Canis lupus familiaris: one gene and its partner. The protein of the gene in region 2 purifies or fractionates together with the protein of the main gene of each other region. This does not show direct contact. Links are inferred from orthologs where the notes say so. Each region holds a gene or a part of one and is shown on either strand. Other genes may lie near its edges.

Region 1 (6,467 bases), on a different chromosome or scaffold from region 2:
GGCCTCATTTTCAAATGTATGGATTATTTTTCCCTGCTTTATTCTGAGCTGAGCTAACAAATGAAGAGCAGTAATGCTCATGGAAACAGGTAAAAAGATGCTATTCTAGACTGAACTGTGTTACCCCAAAAATCCATGTTGAGGTCTTAACCCCCAGCACCTCAGAACGGGACTATCTGGAGACAGGGCCTTTAAAGAGGTGATTCAGTTAGAAAGAGCTCACAGGAGAGGCTGAACCCAATCTAATCCAAGCCCTTTTAAGAGGAGAGCAGAACAGATTTGTTCTGACAGAGGGACAGCCCTGGGAGGCCACAGGGAAAAGATGGCCATCTGTACATCAAGGAGAGGCACCTCAGAAGGAATCAGCCCCAGTGACACCCTGATCTGTGCCTCCTGCCTCCAGGCCCGGGAGAGCATAAACCTCTGGTTCGTGGCCCCCTGTCCCAAGCCAGCCCAGGTGCACACATCACTCTACCAAGGCAAAGCCAGGGTGAAAGTCCACACTTGTCGACCACAGACTAATTATTTATTTCCCAAGACTATCAATGTGAACTAGGAAGAAAGAATTCCCCAACCCCTCCCAAGCACACACACAAAGAAACTTGCTTCCAGTTCATGTGGCCCCATCCCCCTGGAACAACAAAGTGTCGCCCTGTTTTAGTCCTGGTCCTCGTTGCCACGGTGATGCTTGGCAGCTAACTCCCCAAAGACAATCAGCAACTGGCCTCAGGGAAGACCCTGCCTGCCTCTGAAACTGAGAGCTCCCTGCAGCAGCCACCTGCCACCTGCCAAAGTGCAGAGCAAGCATGGGAGAGGATGCTCTCAGGGGCAGAAGGATGCATGCTCTTCCTGACGTGCAGGGCTGCTCTTCACTGGGACCTCTAATGGGCCTGTTCCAGGGGGGCAGGCGGAAGCCTAATGTTCACCTCTGATTCCAGAATGCCTGGGCTTTGCACCCAGCAGGGCCTGGTCTCAAGGCTTGACCCCCACATGGCCTTGGACAAGTTGCTTCCCTCCTTTCAGCCTCCACTCCTGTATGAAACGGGGAGGGTAAGCACACCTGCCTCGTAGGTCCTTTCGCAGATGAACAAAACATAAAGACAGACTAGAATTCAGACGTCAAAACGACATCCGTAACTCATACAAACTGCAGCACAGTGCTCACAGTGTCCTGTCCCTTGAACCCTTCACCTCATGGTTCTCTGAGCACAACTGGGATCACCAGAGCAGTGCTGTCCAAGATGACAGGCACCAGCCACATGGTGGCCCACAGGCCAGTCCAAACCGAGATGTATTCTGAGTGTGTATCACACACCAGACCTCAAAAGCTTCATATCAAAAAGAAAGGTGGTAAAATTTTTCATTCATAATTTTTATTGTGATTACAAGCAAAATGTAATAGTTCAATCTATTGGGTTAAATAAAATATATTAAAACTATTAAAACTGACACAGCTACTACAAAACTTCAATACACTTCTTAGGTGGTGAACATCATATAGGTTGCCTGGATCCTTGTAATGGCTGCGTAATATTCCACCCACAGAGGCAGTGGTGCTGGGGGGACCACTGAAGAGGCTCCCCGCCCTTTGTTCATATACAATCCTTACAGCAACCACCCCTGTTCTTGGGTCACTGGGTTTGCATATGCATGTATTCCCGCTGAATTAATTCCTAACAGTGGAGCTGGCGAATTAAGGGGAATCTACATGGGACACTGGCTGACTTTTGCCAAGCCACCCTCAGCAGGAGAACCTAACACATTTTCAACAGTAAAGGATGAGATTGGGCAGGGGGCATGGGGGAAGAGAAGGGGACGGGGTGAGGGACCCTACATTCTCTACGACTCTATTAAGGAAATTCCTAAAGGAGAGACTTCAGAATCCCAAATGAGCCTGAAACACTTTCTCAGCCAAGGCCTGAGGCACGACTCAGTTATTTACATTCCCTTTTGGTGACATCATGGGTTGGTCAGCAGAGAACTCACCAAATAAGGTTTGAAGCTGGAGGGGGGGGTGGGGTGGGGAGGAGATGGTGACTGGCTAGTCTGAGGCAGGGTGTTCTCAGGGGACACTCAAGGCCCCGCCAGACAGGAAATCAGCTGCCTGGCTGGAATGGGAAACCTCCGCGCTTTCCCACAAGAATGCTAAACAATTGGCAGGGACGTGGGCCCAGACAGGAGGCCTCTCCTGCAAACGTGCCCGAGAATCAATCACCTCCCTCAATCAAGACAGGCTTCAACAGAGGGACAGACCTTTACCAACAAACACCGCCACCACCTACCGCTCTCATGTCACGTGCCAGGCGCTCTGGTAGGCGCTCCATGCGTTCCACTCTATTTTTCCCCGAAGGAAATGCACAGAGAAGGTCAGAGCAAGAACGTGCGGTCAGGGCCACCTGACTCCAAAGCCTAAATTCCCTCCGCCAGCACATGCCACTGACTCATTCGCGCTGGAGAGGGGAATGAAGGACAGGAGGGGGGATGCGATCTGGAAACCCCCGCAGCGCCTCTTGCTCTTGCCCATGCCCGGAGCCCTGGCGGCCACAGGCCCTGCTCACCTGCCCAGCTCCTCCCCCATCTCATAGTAGTCTTCCACGTCTTCCTGCCTGAATGTGGACATGGTGGGCGGCCTGCCTTCTGGTGCCCTCCTCTCACTGAAGGCTGGCGACAGGACCTCAGGGAGTCCCTGAGCTGTGACCTGGAGGAGACAGGGAAATAGGGAAGAAGTGAGACACCAGCCATTACTCCTAAATGGAACAACTAAGTTCCCCCAAAACTAAGTTCCCCGATCCTCGGCCAGGGCACGTGCATGTGGCGCCCGGGGTGCTTTCCTGTTATCCCGCTCGGTGACCACACCACCCAAAATGTTGGTGGCAACCCCACTGTGCCCGCTTAGCCCCGAAACCTCCCCCAGGCCCACGCCGCCGGCTCCCCTCACGCCGCCCCAGCCCTTCTCTGCCTCTCCCTCCCAGGCTTCTCCCGACCTGCTCATCCAAAGCCCCCCCTTCCTGCAAGTTCCCCCACACTCCGCACACCCTAAGCCCCGGGGCTCCGCACGCCTGCCCAACTTGCTGAGTCGGCGCGGCGCCGGCCCCCGCAGCTCCCCTCCCCCACTCCCCCCGGACCCCGGCCGTCAAGCTCGCGCCAGCCCCCGCCGCCGGCCCCTCGCCCCGGCCCCCGGCGCCCCGCCCCCGAAGGCTCCCCCGCGGAGGCCCCCACGCCGTCTCCCCCACCCGCAAAGGGCCACACCGCAGAGCCTCCTCCTCTGCCCTCTGCCCTCTGCCCCGACCCCGGGGCGAGCTCGGGGGCAGACCCCCCGCAGGTGTCTCCGAGCCCTAACCCCCGCTAGGAGCGCCCCGGAGGCCGCCACGCCCCTCGCAAGCCCCGACCAGCCCCTTCACCGGCCCGCTCAGCCCGCGGGTCCCCGGACGTGCCCCCGCGCCTCCAAGAGCCGCCCCGGCCTCCCCCGCCCGCCGCCGCCGCCGGCCGCGCCCGCTCCGCACCCTCCGCGGCCCCGCGCCCCGGCCCGCCGTCTGCCGCGCTGGCTACCGCCGCCCTCCTCAGCCCCGCCGCCTCGGCCACCGGGACGCTTCGACCCGCGTCGACGTCACCGCGTCCGCCAGTGCCCGCCCCCCGGGGGCGGTCCCCGCCGCCCATTGGCCAACGCCCCCGCCGCTCGTGACGCCCCGCCCCCGGCCGCCTTCCAGGCCCCGCCCGCCGGCGTCCGGTCCTCCGAACCCGGATGCCGCCTCGCCACTGGCTGACACTTTCGCCCTCCCGCAGCCGATTGGCTGGGGCGGACGTCGGGCACACTTAGGAAGTCGGAAGGCCGACTTCCGGCCCCGGGCCGCCCCGCCCACTCTCCTCTGACCTGGGTCCTGAAGCCGAGGAGCTCGGTGCTGACCCTCTGCATCCCTCTTACCTTCCTAGAGCTCGAGATACGCGAAAGCGCTCCCGCACGACCGCTCCTGGGGTGGGCCCAGGCACGGCTTTCGTCCCTGACTTCAGTTTCCCCCTCCGTAAAATGTTACCCACATCCCAAATGCATAAACAAAAATGCAGATGAGGCCGGTCAGGTGTTGCCATTCATCCTTGAGACATTTCTGATTCCTGTTGTCTCAAGACACGGGATGAAGCAGCTAGTTCGTACGAACCACGCAACAATCTTAGGAGGTAACGTATGTTAACATTTCTCTCGTTCTACAGACGGGGAAGCCGAGACCAGAGGTTAAGTAACTCACTGGGAGTCACACAATGTCATGGCTGAGATTCATTCCCAGAAAGACCCGAACCCAAAGCCGGTGCTGCACCACTGCAGATGCCATGTGACTAAAGACCCCAAGTCTTGAGCGTCCCCGACTATCCTGACCTCATGCTGTTCTGTCCTCATTCACCCCACTCCAAGCTCATTTGCCTTCCGATTTCAAACATTGCACTCCCACCCACGTATTTGCACAAGTTGGTCCTTCAGCCTGGAGATCGCCTTTCTCCATTCTTGTTTAAAGTACCTCCCACACCCATTGCCAACTACATATTACATTATGGCACACTTGTCACAACTAGTGAACCAGCAATACATGATCATAACCAAATCCATCGTTTATTCAGATTTGTGTTCCCGAACATCATCATCCTCTTGTATCAAATCTCATCCGGGATCCCACATATTCAGTCCTTAAGAGTCCTCATCGTTTCACTTTCCTTTTAGTGACATTGACAGTTCCAAGGACTGGTCAGGTATTTTGTAGAATGTCCCTCAACTGGATTTGTCTGTTATTCTCATAGACTGGGGTGATGGGTTTTAGGGAGGAAGACCAAGTCCTCTTCTCATGACACCGTATCATGGGCCCAGGTTATCACCATATTGCTGTTCACGTTGACCTTGGTCACCTGGTTCCAGGTAGTGTCCGTCCGTCAGGTTTCTCCAGAATACTTTTCTCCCCTTCCCATGCCGTATTCTTTGGAACTAACTTATGTAGATACCACACTTAGAGTCGGATCATTTTTCTCGAAATAACCCAATAAAATATAGTAAATTAGACTTGGGTATACGGCATTTTCTCAAAAACCTTATCACAAAGGCAAACAATGGACAGGATTTGTTGCCAATGGTCAAATTTTAACCACTGTAGAAAAAAAAATCCAAAACTTGACAGTGATTTCCTGATACTTCAACCCTTCCCTGATGAAACTGTTCCATGAATGTGACCTTTCAGTATTTAATGAAATGTATCCACTGGAAAAACAGCAAACGTCGTATACCAGTATTTCCAAGGAACTGATGCATGGTGTTACAAAAGCATGCATGGGAAAAGGACACAAAGTGCAAGATGGAGCCAATGGAGTTTAATTAACAGCATGAAAAGCTCATCGATACGATTTAGGATACCACATAATTAAATTACCACTTGAGTTTTTGGTGTTGTATCAAAGAATACCCACACCAACCACCTGAGAACAATTCTTAAAGTGCTTCTCTTCTCCAAGGACAGGAATGAAGCTGGATACGCTACATAGAATCCAACCAAAACCACGTTATCACGATAGACTTAACACAGCAGACGTGATAATCTGGCTTCTATTAAGCCAGAGAGTTCAAAGATTACAAAAACGTTGAATACCACTAATTTTTTGGAAGGTTCTTTTCCTCATAAAAACATTATCAAACAATGGGTTTATTATCTTTAAAACAATTATTCTTAAATCTCTCAAATTTTTAAACATGGTTAAGCATCAGTAGATAAAACCCATGTAAACAAAAAGGATCTTTGGGGTCCTCGATATGATTAAGAATATACAGGTGTCCAGAGACTAAAAAGGTTGAGAACTACTGGCCTAGAGGGACAAGAGTTAAAATCGATTAAAGGAAAACATGTAGCCAACAATACACACCCACACACACACATACTTGAACACGTTGATGCTTGGGAATAATTTAACACAAAGACATAATGAAGTCAGGTCAGCCCCTACAAATGTAATCCTTTTGAAATTTACAGCTGAAAATGCACAACTAGACTTGCTGTTAGCAAGCCAAACACCCCAAGTGACATATGAATTTAGAATTTAAAACTTAAAACAGTCTCCTCTTCAATTTACAGTCCTATCTTTTGACAAATTGCTGGATGTTAAAAATGTGCAAAACTAAATGCAGTGAGGTATCCTGGATTGGACCCTGCAACTGTGTAAAGGACTTTAGTGGAAAACCAAGTAAACAGTCAATTAGCGCACCTTTATAACATCTTTGCACCTTTTCTGTAAATATAAAATTATTCAAAAATAAATGTTTACAAAAGTGCAAAAAACACACGTGCCCTTCAAGCAATGTCAGGTTTTGAAATAAGAACAACTTCCAAAAGGGCGCTTAGATGGCTCAGCCTGCTGAAGTGTCTGATCCACCGTCCTGACACTCAGACCCACATCAGTATTCTGGCTCAGCAGGGAATCGGCTTCTCTCCCTCTCCTCG
Region 2 (6,433 bases):
CAGTGACCTAAGAAATTATGAGAAGGAGGGGCACCTGGGTGGCTCAGTTGGTTAAGCATCTGGCTCTATTTTGGCTCCGGTCATGATCTCGGGGTGGTGAGATTTACTCCCATGTAGGGCTCAGCACGGAGTCTTGCTTTTCTCCCTTTACCGACCCCCAATCTCTCTCTCTCTCTCCCCCCCTCTCAAATAAATAATTCTAAATAAATAAATAAATAAATAAATAAATAAATAAATAGGTAGATAGATAGATAAGTAAATAAACAATTTTTTAAAAAATTATGAGAAGGAAACAATAATCTTATGTCTTCTGAGAAAGAGACAATTTCTACCTGATGTATTGCCTTTGTGGGATATTAGCTAAAACAAGTTAGAGATAAGCATTAAGGATATTCTGACCCAGGTGGAAGGGCAAGGCCTTTAGTTATTTTACAGCATCCCCACCCTTTAGCATTATTTGAACTACACTGGGTAAAGCACTTCCAGGGACAGCCAAAGATGCTAAGTTTTATATTTCAGGAGATACCATTTCAAAAAGGAAACAAAAATAAAAGTTCAACTCCTTAATAAATCTTTGGGTAATTCCACCACCACCACCCCCGCAACCCCCCCAACCCTCCGCCAACGACAGCCCTGTCCTAAAATGAAAACCTGGTTCCTCATGAATTTCTTTCCCCTGATCTGCCAAGTATACCCCTATCTCTACCAATCTTATTCTTCTCATGCACCTCATCAATAAATACCTAAGGTTTCCCTATTTCCTACAGAGTTAGCATACTAACTCACTCTGATCTCAATAGTTTGAATTAGGGAACACAGAAACTTCGTAACATTGCCAGGAATTACTTTGCTAACCAATACCTTAAAAAAAAAAAAAAACAAACAGTTTAAACAAAAGATGGCAGTTGTGATTACACAACTGTGTACATCTGTCAAAGCTCATCAAACTGCACACTTAAAATGGATGAATTTTATCGTATGTAAATTAGACCTCAATAAAGCTGAATTTTAAAAAAAAGTGAGGGCAGCCTGGGTGGCTCAGTGGTTTAGCACTGCCTTCGGCTCAGGGCGTGATCCTGGAAACCCAGGATCAAGTCCAGCATCGGGCTCCCTGCATGGGGCCTGCTTCTCCCTCTGCCTGTGTCTCTCATGGATAAATAAATAAAATCTTTTAAAAAACAATAATAAGAAATAATAAAAAAGAGTGTTTCTTCAGCAAGTATTTACTGAGCATCTATTATGTGCTTCAAAGTTTATACCAAATCTTTCAGCTTGACTGTGTCCTACCTGTAACTAATGTGCTTTACTTATAAGCTGACACTATCCCAAAAAGCCAGTATTACATGAAAAATGGTTCAGCTTCTGATTATGAATGTCACCCTAATTATGGCTTCTACAGTGGAAGGACCATTAGCTATCCAAATTTTCCATTATATAAGTGAAATCTATGATCACCCAAGTACTCTGCATTTCAACACAAATGCTTCTGGGGGGGGGGGGATATATAGATATATAAATATATACATACACACACACAATATACACACCTACAGTATATAGGACACACCACTAGCACAAAAACATCTCAATAGCATACTGACAACATTGCTGGAAGAAAAAGAAGGCAATACTACTGGGGAAAGGACCTAATTGACTTATTCTACAGTCCAAGGTGAGCCAGTGGCTGAGTTAAAGGCCTAGAAATTAATGCAGTGTGCATAATGGGAGATAACCAAGGACCTCACAGACTGGGTTTGAATTCCAGCTCCACCTCTTACCATCTGTATGTGTAAACCTGGGGCAGTCACTTTACCTTCTGACCTTCAGTTTGCCCATATGTGAAACAGGGGATGCCAATTATGACCTACAGCATTGTTGTGAAAACTCTATGAGATATATACCACCAAGCACAATTACTGGGCACAGAGTAGGCAACTCACCAAAATTAAGCTCCCCTTCTTGGTCTTAAATTATTCAGGAGTAAGAAAATGCCTATTAATCGAGGCTAATTCATAATCCCTGTTAGTAATGACAGTACAACAATGAACCTGTACTTGCTGCCTTGTTCATACTCTAATCAACTCCCTTCCCCAGCCCACTATTTCCAGTTTTTCAAACTTTAGTTACTATGTTTAGAAAAGTGATTTAATTTTAGAAACCTGGAAAATTCTTCTGAGTAAATTGAGCAAAACCTTAATCTGCCCCAAGGGGAATCCTGAGCAAAAATAATTATTTCTGACAGAAGAATTTTTCTATGGGAGTTACTTAATTTAACCACACGAATGCTACCAAAGCTGCACACAAAGTGACAAAACAATCTGGAACATACCGTACAGATTCTCCAAAGGGAAATATCCTCCTAAAATCCAAACCTCTCCCTCCCTTCCTAATCTAATAAAATCTTACTAGGTGATCTGAGTTCCCCCAACACGAGTCCAGCTCCTTACAGGCCAGAACTGCAGCAGTCCTTAAAATGCTCTGAACAAAAAAAAAACAAAAAAAAAAAACCTCTGCAAACGTCCCCAAAAGGCAGGGAGGTCCAGAGAATATTTTCTCCCCAATCAACAGATAAGGCAACCAGGAGCTCCGAAGCACACAATTCTTTTCCCAAGGTCATTCGAGTCAGTGAAGGAAGGTGCGACGGAGAATCTGCAAGCAATCCCTGGCTTTCTGGAGATCACACTGCAGGGTTGGTTTTCTGTTGGGTTGTGGATGGGGGGACTGGGGGGGGGCGGTGGAAGAGGAGCGGGGGGGGGGGGGGGGCGCCCGGTCTCTTCCCTTCTTCCCTTCTCCCACCCTCAAGTGTGAGCACTGGTCTCGGCATTTCCGAAACAAGCCACAACAAGCTTGCAGGGTTAGGAAAGGGGCTGACGCGACGGAGAAACAGATGCTCCAAAGCAAGACGGTCTTTCTCGGCTCGCAGAGCCTCCTCTCCAAGGTCATCAAGAGAAACCGCAGGCACGTCTGCGGGCTCCCACGCGGGCTCCGAACCCGCAGCCCGGCCGCCCCGGGAGGCCGGCTCCCCCGCAGCAGGCAGCCTCCGCAGCCAGAGGCCACGGCCCCCGAGGCCGCACTTCGTTCCTGCGCTCGGGGCAGCCATGGCTCCTTCCCGGCGCGCAGGGGCGGGGGTGCGCGGGGAGGCGGGCGGCGGGCGGCGCGCGCTGCGGAAAGTTCACCGCGGCGGCGGGGGGCGGGCGGCGGGCGGCGAGGGGCGGCCCGGCCCGGCTCGCCCGCGTCCCCCTGCAGATTCCACCATTAATTAGTCCTAAGGACTGTCTACTGGCAACTTAAACAAAGCGAATGCCTCGAATTCCTTCCCGGCCCAGCGGTCTGGCTGCGAGGCCAGCATCGGCCGGGACGCGGGCCGGCGCGGCGGGCCGACAGCTGCGGCGGCGGCGGGACCCCTCCCCCGGCCCGCGCCCCCGCAGCCCGCTCCCGCAGCCCGGCCGACCCCCCCCCCCCTCCTCCTCCTCCTCCTCCTCCTCGGGAGCTCCCGGGCTCTTCCTGTAAGATCACTTCCTTCCTCCCCGGGTGCCCGCGGGCCCCGCGCAGCCCCCTCCCCGCCCCCCCCCACGCCGGACCCCAAACTCGACCCGAAACTCCCCTCCGCCCTCCCCCTCCCGAAAACGTCCCCTCGGCTCTCTGCCCCGAACGTTTCTCCTCCCGGAGCCTCACTCCCACCAGAACTCTCGCAGATCCTTCCCTCCCCCTCCAAAAGAAGAATTTCCAACTCCAAAAAATTTCTCAAGGTCTCGCCCCAGAAGGTCTCCCCTTCCGAGCCCTTTCTCCAAAATTCCTCTCCAAGGCCGCCCCCTCCCCCGCCTCAACTCCATACCCGCCCCCCCCAGCCCTCCCCGGGGTGCGCCCGCCGGTCCTGCCCTGGCGCCCCTGGGTGCGCCGACCCCTTGCCCGGGCGGGCCGCCCCTCCGGCCGCCCCCTCCGGCCGCCCCAGCCCCCCCAGCCCCCGCGCCGCGCGCCCGCCGCCTCCGCGCCGACCCCTCACCTCGGCGGCTCCGGCCCGCGCTCCCGCCCGCGGAGGGGTCCAGCGCTCCGCTCCCGGCGGCCGGCGCCTCCTCGGGCTCCCCGGGACTGACAATGAGGGGCGGGGCCAGATGGTGACGTCAGCGCCCTGGGGGCGGGGCCTGTCGTGGGGGCGGGGCTGCCGATCCGCCCCGCCCCCTCCGTTCTTTTCCTCCTTCCCAGGACTTGGATTTTGCCAAGTTTCTACGGCTTGCCTAAGTGCCCGGGTCCTGTGCTAGGCGCGGTGTGAAATCGAAATGACAGATAAGAAAGATGTCCTGCTTTCAAAAGGGGCACTCCTGGCGGGGGGTGGGGAAAGGGGTGGGGGGGGAGGATTAAATGAGATAATCCACGTAAAGGTGTTTAGCCCAGAGCCTGGTATTGAATAATCACTCAACGAATACTATTTATAATACTCAGCAATTGTGGGAAAGGCCTTCAATGTGGAGGCATGGCTTCCAGTCCCCAGCTCTGCTATTAATTCATGGTGTGACCTTAGACAAGTCTTTTCCCCTTTATGTTTCTCGCTTTTACCTTCTTTAAGATGGGAAGGAGGGATGACCAGATGATCTCAAAAGTCCCTCCAATAATTCTGTGACACAGTTCCCGAGGTACCAACGGCCCAGAGAAGTGGGGAGGGGGGCCTTTGAAGGGACCCCAAAACCCACAGCCAGTATGGTACAGGACACAGCCACAGACACACTCCCCACGGATGCCCTCCCACATCCTGGCACAGAGCTGCATTCACAAGCCAGGACACAGATGCGCTGAGAGTGGCTACCCCTCAGACTATAGCAGCATAGCTGGTCTCTTGAGACATCTCTTGTGTAAACTCCTTATTGCCTATGGAATAAGGGCCAAAACCCTGGCCTGGTCCGGTCTCTCCCTACCTTTATACACACACACAGACATACACACACTGTAAAGTTTATCCAGACTTCCACCTGCACACCCACTGCTTTCCCACATCTGCCCCATGGCTCATGCTCTTCCTCTGCTGTCTCATCTCAACTTACAACTCCTCCTAGATTCCCCCAACCTGGAGCCGACTCTCCCTGTTCTCAATAATCCAATACCTGTGTGCTGTATTTAACTCTCATGTGCGCATGAACACATTTTAACTAGTATCGCATTGACCTCCTGTTTCTTAGCACTTCCTCACTTCCTTGAGGTCAGAAACCACGAATGTTTAGTAGTGCCAGAAAACCCAGGGATTATACACCCATGTTCTGGCCCATGCTAGCTCTCATTCTTCTCATGTGTAAAATGGGGATATTCATATAGTCCTTGCAGTGTTTGTTCTGAAATTACATAGAACACTGTGCGGAAAGCACCAGGCACAGTGCTCCAGAAATGATGTCGTTGTCATTCTTACTTTCATCATCACCATCAATATTATTTCCAGCTCCTAACACCACACACCACCCCTCGTGATAATTCACCCAATCATTTCATAGAGTTCGACTCTGAGGTCCCGAGAGAGGAAGAGGCCCACTAAAAGTGGCCCTGCAGAACACTGCCCTTGGGAGTGAACCAACACTACAGTTTCTAGACCCCAGGGAGATTCTGCGGAGTCACATGTGACGCCCCAGGGTGTCTCTGTCACTCAGCACCTGTCCAAGTGGGGGACAGCTTTGAGTTCTCTCGGCAAGTTATTTGCGGCAGAGCTGACCCATTTCTCCCTCATGCCTTTCTGCTCTCACTTCCCTTACAAAGAGATAGATCTGTGTTAAACTGCCCTTGGCATCTCTGCAGTCCCTGAGGAGAGCTGCAGCAAGGCACTGGGCGTTTCCAGAGTGCTGGCCTGTGGGAAGAGGGAAAGGGCTTTGGGGTTCTGATTAATTTCCTGAGCTGCAGACAGGCAAATGGTTGTCCTGAAATGCCTGGGCTGGTTCTCAAGGGCCCCTAACAAATTGCAGCTTATTTTTAGAAGAGGAGATTCAAAAATGCCACTTCCCATGAAAAGTAGGCATGGCCACAGGATTGCTCCAGGCAAAGAATGGGCCTGTACTGAGTTCCTCCTATGTGGGGACGCCAATTCCAAGCATTGCAAACCATTGGCAGAGAGAACCCAGGATGCACAGCGGAGGTTCTGAAGGCAGAGCATTCTCTCCAAGATCCATGAGCCCATCCATCACATCTTCGTTCATTCACAGCAAAAGGTTTGGCACAGAAAAGCTCAGAATGCAAATCTCAGCTCCATCACTTGCCACTTATGTAACCTTGGGCTTTCAAGTCTCTGCCCCTTAGCCTCTCACCTGAAAAAGAGAAAATAATAATAGTACCTATCTCACACAGTGGCTGTGAGGATTGAATGAAATAACATATGGAATAGCTTTGTTCAGAGCCTAACACCTTTTTCACGCCCTGATACAGTGGCTGCTGCTACTACTTCAACACATCCTCCCAGTAA

The links. The genes of interacting proteins can lie anywhere in the genome.
Region 1: the proteins of LUZP1 (region 2) and DAPK3 purify together in Homo sapiens (affinity purification with mass spectrometry; 3 studies listed by BioGRID and IntAct, with this or other methods). This does not show direct contact. The link is inferred for Canis lupus familiaris from reciprocal best matches to the Homo sapiens genes LUZP1 and DAPK3.

The regions. Positions count from the first base shown.
Region 1 is NC_049241.1:55,983,904-55,990,370, reverse strand, and holds the start of DAPK3 (death-associated protein kinase 3), read right to left. Parts: upstream 3,624-6,467; 5' UTR 3,504-3,623; intron 2,699-3,503; 5' UTR 2,621-2,698; coding exon 2,559-2,620; intron 1-2,558. UniProt on the Homo sapiens protein: Serine/threonine kinase which is involved in the regulation of apoptosis, autophagy, transcription, translation and actin cytoskeleton reorganization. Involved in the regulation of smooth muscle contraction.
Region 2 is NC_049223.1:75,612,395-75,618,827, reverse strand, and holds the start of LUZP1 (leucine zipper protein 1), read right to left. Parts: upstream 4,119-6,433; 5' UTR 4,004-4,118; intron 1-4,003.